2 linked regions of the Neurospora crassa OR74A genome follow. The protein of the gene in region 1 purifies or fractionates together with the protein of each later gene. This does not show direct contact. Links are inferred from orthologs where the notes say so. Each region holds a gene or a part of one and is shown on either strand. Other genes may lie near its edges.

Evidence for each region. The genes of interacting proteins can lie anywhere in the genome.
Region 2: the proteins of NCU07832 (region 1) and NCU03766 purify together in Saccharomyces cerevisiae (affinity purification with mass spectrometry; 4 studies listed by BioGRID). This does not show direct contact. The link is inferred for Neurospora crassa OR74A from reciprocal best matches to the Saccharomyces cerevisiae genes PRP8 and LSM5.

Annotation. Positions count from the first base shown.
Region 1 is NC_026503.1:1,010,051-1,012,953, reverse strand, and holds part of NCU07832 (pre-mRNA processing splicing factor 8), read right to left. Parts: coding exon 700-2,903; intron 623-699; coding exon 1-622. UniProt on the Saccharomyces cerevisiae protein: Functions as a scaffold that mediates the ordered assembly of spliceosomal proteins and snRNAs. Required for association of BRR2 with the spliceosomal U5 snRNP, and the subsequent assembly of the U4/U6-U5 tri-snRNP complex.
Region 2 is NC_026505.1:2,344,824-2,348,170, reverse strand, and holds NCU03766 (small nuclear ribonucleoprotein), read right to left. Parts: upstream 1,749-3,347; 5' UTR 1,635-1,748; coding exon 1,610-1,634; intron 1,532-1,609; coding exon 1,475-1,531; intron 1,395-1,474; coding exon 1,356-1,394; intron 1,277-1,355; coding exon 1,249-1,276; intron 1,182-1,248; coding exon 1,118-1,181; intron 1,061-1,117; coding exon 1,019-1,060; 3' UTR 824-1,018; intron 748-823; 3' UTR 539-747; downstream 1-538. Other genes in the region: NCU03767 (mitochondrial chaperone bcs1), read left to right, coding at 1-524; NCU03765 (3'-5' exonuclease/helicase), read left to right, coding at 2,366-2,514, 2,592-3,347. UniProt on the Saccharomyces cerevisiae protein: Component of LSm protein complexes, which are involved in RNA processing and may function in a chaperone-like manner. Component of the cytoplasmic LSM1-LSM7 complex which is involved in mRNA degradation by activating the decapping step.

The sequences.
Region 1 (2,903 bases):
TTGCCCATAGCCTGCTGGATCAAGAGCTTCAAGCCTGGGAAGTATTGACCGTAGGCAGAGTACAAGTTGTAAGCCAGATCGATGCCAATCATGAGACCGGTAGGAGATGGGTAAAGACTCATGCTGTCGGTGGTGTAGTCCAGATACTTGGCCCTGACGTATCTCTCAATATCGTGAGAGTCGTAGTCACCATAGCGAAGCTGAACATCAATCCAAAACTTGTTCGTCGTAGTAGACTCGATGACATCCTTGGTATCGAAAAGGAGCGATGGGCGAGTAACGTTCCATTTGTGGCTGGCAAAGAGCTGGATATCCGCGCAGGAGCTGTTCATCTTGTAAGATTTTCTGGGATGAATGGTTTCCTTTTGAACCGATTCGATGCTTAGAGCCTCAAGCTCCTGATCGAAGACCTGGCAAAGATCCATGACCACTGACTCGTGGATCTTCTGCCACAGATGAGCTCGGAAGATCTGGATCAGGGAGATCTTGAGAGTAGGAATCTTGCCGTGCAAGAAGATACCAGTTAGATCCAACTGCACTTGGAAACCGACGTAGACATTGGCTCTGTTGATGGTAGGCGACCACCAAAGCGTGAAACGACGATTAGGAATCTGGTTGAGACCTGCGTATTTCAAAGTCAGTATTTGTGCGTGCATATGATGATGAATTCATGCTAGAGAAATGGTATGTTGAACTTACCGCTCCTCTGGGCATTTGTCAACTTCTTGAACTTCATCGACTCCTCGAAACCACTGGCCTTCTCCCAGAAGAGACCTTCCCAAGACGGGAAACCAGTTGCCTTGAACAAGGTATGCTCCAAGATGGTTTCGACACCACCAAGCGCCTGGATGACATCGGTACGGTATGCGTTAAGGTTCCAAAGTTTACCGTCATGCCTCTGGCTTGTCCACCAGAAGGGATTGCTCTTCATCAACTGATAGATCTTGAACTCGGAACGGGCACGGAAACCCTTGTCGAAGCTTAACGTGCTACGGTCCTTTTGAAAAAGAGTGTTTATACGGGGCAGACCGCGATCCCAGCTGTCCTCCAGATCCTCTAGGGTCAATCTGCGGTTCTGCTGGTTGGCCTCGAGACGCTTCTGCGAGTATTCCGTCCACACACGCTGGGAGTCGATAAACTCAGCTTCCCACGGGATGATGTAGCGGAAGATGTTGGGGATCAGCGTTTCCTCATCGTGCGACATGCCCGCACGGTAATGAGTAACTCCGAGATCTGTCTGTTTAGACCAGCGCTTGTCGCTAGTAGGGATAAGGATGTGTGATCCGGAAATCATACCCAAGCCACCAAGCTCCTTGGGAGTGTAGAAAACGGCAGGAGGGAAACGGGAAGGCATCTTGGAGTTGAGACCAATTTTGACACGAGTCTGGATTTTGGTTTCACACTTGACAATCGTGTCAAGCAGGTTCACGGTCGAAACAGCAGCCTCGCGGTAGTAAGTAAAGAGGGCAATCAGCGCCGTGTTCCACTTGTTAGCAATCTTGGTGAATGTGGTCGAGCCAGACGACATGAGAATCTGACGGATCCTGTTATTGAATTTCTGAATGTCCTCTTCGGTAACTTGTAGGAAAGCGTGAGCGGTGCGTTCCTTGGTCGTGTTGTCCACTAGTGACCAGACACTGTCTTTCACAGGGAACTCATCGTTCTGGTTGCGGATCTTGGGCAAGATGCGCACTTCGAAGCCGCACATGGAGAACAGGAGGTTCGGGTTATCCCTGCTGTACACGCTGGCGAAGGTGTCTTCCCATTCAATCGTCGTCACGGATCTTGGGAGGCGGTTCTTGAGATCCCAGAACACAGCTCTGCCGAGGTTGACGTCGTGCCTCATGAGACGCATACGCGAATCTCTGGGCCAGCACTTCTTGCTCTTGTAACCAATCACGTTCTCGAAGTTGGGATCAGGCTGCTCTGTCAAGAATCGCTGGATCAGGTCGCGAGATTCATCCGCGGTGAACCTCAAGAACACCCAGATCTTGTCGATGTACCTGGTGTACAACCTAATCGGGTGTCTTGTTTCAGTCTCCCGGTCCTTGAACTGAAGGAAGTCATTGGGTGCGTGGGGAGGACCGGCAATCTCGCTGGCACGCTGCGGGCCAAGCAACAGCAAATCGAGAATGAGACCATAGTACTGGAAAACGAAGGCTGAGAACTGCAGGCCACGAATCATACCATAGCTGTTGACATGGTTCATGTCCTTGTAAGTTAGGGTAACGTTATTCTTGGCCGTGATGTAGTCCGCAAGGTTGTGGTCCATTATCAACCGAAGAAGCGAGTTGAGCAAGGTCAGCTCAATCTTCTCGTAGACCTTGGAGAGCTGCGTCTCGATCATGACATTGCACTCGCCATTCGCGGTCTCCCAAACCCTGTCGAGGTTGTTAATGCCTTGAGCCCACTTGTACACAAGCAAAGGTGGCACCTCCGAATCGGAAGGCTTAATCCAAGCGGGGAACAGATGGCGCTGGTCAGCTTGATACCACAAGTACTGGTCGAGATAAGCATCGCTAATCTTCTCGATCGGTTCAATATCATAGACCGGGTTGATGGTGCTGTAGTTGTCGTTCATATCGATGCCGACTTCCTTGAAAGCTCTTTGAGTGAGTAGGAAGCGTTTGATACGCTCGAGGGTAGTGCCTGGACTGTCATATGCCTGCTCAATCAAGGCCAACTCCTCACGCTGACTCTGGTTCAATCTTCCCTTGGTCGAGTAAGCCTCACGTAGGCGCTCCAGCGCCAAGATAAGGATCTTGGTGTCATGCTTGTAAGACACACTGGGGAAGGGGATGGGAGAGAATTTTCTCGATTCAAGCCAGTGCACCGTAGTAGTGTAAATGGCAACAGCCTCCTCAGAAGAGACGTAGGGACCATCCTTCATGTGGTTGTGCTGG
Region 2 (3,347 bases), on another chromosome or scaffold:
GGGTTGCGTCCCCGGATGGCACCGGCACAGGCACCGGCACCACCGCTGAGAAGGATGAAGAAAAACAACAACAGCCCCCCATAGACCCCAAGATCGTTGATCTCAAACTCCTCGACGACAACAACCTCCGCAAGTCCTCCATCAGCAGTTGCTCTAGTGACGCAACCGTCATTGGCGAAGAGGACAACGCCGCTGCTCCTCCTCTTGTTCCCATCATCACCGCCGCCGCCGCGGCGACAGCCAAAGACAAGGGGAAACAACAAGAACCAGCAGAAGAAAAGACGGAAAGTCCCGTCCCTCTCCACATTACCCCCCTAACTAGACAAGAACTCCAAAAGATCGCCAGGGAGTTTTCCCTGAGAATCCCGGCATCCCAGATCCTCAGTCCGGCGGAGATCCAGGGCTTTCTGTTGAGGCGCAAGAAGGACCCCAGAAGGGCGTTGGCGGAGGTGGACAAGTGGGTGGAGGAGCTGGTCAAGGCGAAGGAGAGTAAGAGCAAGATTTTGGATGCTAAGGCTATTTGAAGTGTGGTGGTGGTTGAATGTTGGTTTGGTAGTTATGGGTTGTGGAAGAGAGCAAGGACGGCTGGTTGGGTGGTGGGGTGGGTTTGGATATTCAATGTTGCTGGTGCTCCTAGATCAGGTGAGTTGCAACAACAGGCAGCCATTTTCTTGCTTTGTTTCTCAATTGAAGAGGTGATCCAAAAGCGCTTGGTTAAGGTTAAGAGGAACTGCTGATCGTGCTAGCCTAAGATAATTTTTTTTGGTCAAGTCGGGTCAAACAAACAGTATGAAATATGATGGAGGATTATAGTTCAACCTACCTCATGTGAGCTGTGTATGGCAGCAATTTCCTTGGAGGTGTTTTGGAATCAGTCTGAATTACCTATTATTATTGACTTCTTCTTGAAGTGACCGACAGAGGGCAAAGAAACGTCCATTCGTATTTCGTGATATGCTGATGATGATTGCTTCTTCCTAACGCGGCCATGCCTCATGTATCCTCTCAAGCCTTCAAATCAGGCAGATGCCGCAATTGGGCCTTCACCACCGGGAATCAACTGAGCACAGCTGTTAGTTGTTTGTAAACGCGAGCTTTGATGACGATGATGACCCACCATGCAGATGTTGTTGCCGTTCAACAGGATCTTCTTCAACTTGGTGTGGTTGCCGGAGTAGTCGCTGATCGAGCAGGAGTGAAGTTAGTAATGTCCTTCATGAACTACTTCCAGAGTAGGACGCGTCGTACAACTCAGTGACGTCCTCCAAAACCATGTCTATTTGAAAGTGAGTTAGCATAAGGCTCCGTGGGACGATATGAAGACAGGGGATGGTGAGGAGAGGCCCGCTACTTACTAACGTAGTCATCGAAACCAACAAGAGTGCCAGCGAACTCTGTTTTCATTCCATCATCAGTCAGCACATCCATCGATAAGTCAAAATCCAGCAGGGACAGCTAGGATGGCATAACGTGCCCTTGTCTCCCTTCATGACAACCCAGATGCGGGAACCAACACACTTGTCGATGAGCTCTGGGGAAAAAAACCACGTTAGCTGTCTTATTCTTGGATACCTAAGTAGTGGTGCCCAGCATGAGCTCTCTCACTCACCGAGAGGAAGTAATTGCGAGGCCATGTTGTATGTGGTGTGGAATGGTCGAGTCTTTAGGTAAGTCTGGATGTCGAAAGGGACGTTCAGTGGCTGTTCACTGAGCTTCGATTGTGAGGCCAACAAGGCGACAGGGCGTACGTACTAAGCTGTTGTACAGTGAAAAAAGATCAGTAATTCCCACAGTATCAGCGTGGACTCGGATTCGTTCTTGGCGCAGCTTATGCTTGTACCCATGCATATGAGAATAAACGGGGTATCTACCTAGGCTTCAGCAGCAGCAACTCGGCAGCGGCTGGACGTCGTGACAGCGCTGCTGTTGCAGTGGCAACCGAATCAATTAGTTCACATCGACCCTTCCTTGTGAACAAAGCAAACAGTTCGTTTGTGATTTCAGTATTCGGAGGCAACCAAATACGTTCGCGTTTCTGCCTGCCAGCAGCCAACGTTGCCCGTGACAAGGTATTTCTCGGTCCAATATTTGTTCAACTTGAAGTTTCAACGTCCACTCCGTCTCCGACTTCTTCTCTTGGTTCCCCCACTTTGACCGAACCAACATTCATATCAGTGCCCTGAAACCACCAAACACCTTTTCGTCTCGTTCCCCTCTGTCAGCATTCAAACGAATCGACAGGTCATGGCGCAGTTCTCTGGGCCTTGACAACCTGCAACATTACTTACTACCTACCTACCTCTACCACGCATACCTCCCACGCACTCGGCAACTTTGTGATCTGCGCTTGCCATCCATCGCTATAATGAGGTCCCCGCACCCTATACCACAAGCCATCGGCGCCGGTGCCAACGCCGTAAACAGCACCACCAGCTTGACTCTGAGGCAATGCCGGCGGCGTTTCTTTGCTTCTTCGCCCTCATCCTCGGTTCCTTCCACATCCCGTTATCCAGTGTAGGTTCACTGGCTCTTCCAGGTCCTTACTACTTCTCCGTATATTTTTGGCTGACCAGGGTTTTACACAAATCAAGACATCTTGGCGCCATGGAGAGGAAAGATCAGACGTGGAATTCAAGCCGGGGCATTACGTTTGCTGGCGATAGTCGCGGCAGCGTTGGATACCCGCAACTGCCATCTTTGGCAAGATATCACAGCGACTCTGCGGTGTCAGCAGCCTCAAACCCGGAACCTGTTCTTCCGCCCAACCACGATGGTGTCTTCAACTCCACAGGTGTACCTCAGGGAAATCCTGACGCGAATGGAACGACGTTAGACTCCCAGGGGCAGGAGTTTGTTGATGCACAGGAAGGGCTGGAGGAACAGTTCCAACTCATACTCGAGGATGGGAACGTTGAGTCGAAAGATGAGGATGCTTCTCTCAAGCCTCCGTTTACACCACTCAGCTTCACCATGTCCGAGGATCTCTTCAAGGAGGCGAAGAAGGCGGCCGAGGGCACTCCAAAGTCTTACTGGACTTACAACCTCTATCGTGGGCCCGACAAGGATGGAAACATGAACGAGAAGGTCAAGGTCCATTACTGCAGAAGTGCGACCACCACTGAGAGGGTCTTGAAGCAGTACTTCATGGATGAGAAGATTCTCGGTCTTGACTTGGAATGGGAAATCAGCGCAAAGGAGAGCCACGGCCCGAGGCAAAACGTGTCGGTTATCCAGATTGCTTCGGAGAAGCGTATTGGAATCTTTCACATTTCGCTCTATCCGAGGAAGGATGAGCTTGCTTCTCCGTTACTCAAGCAAATCATCGAGGACGCCGATGTTGTCAAAGC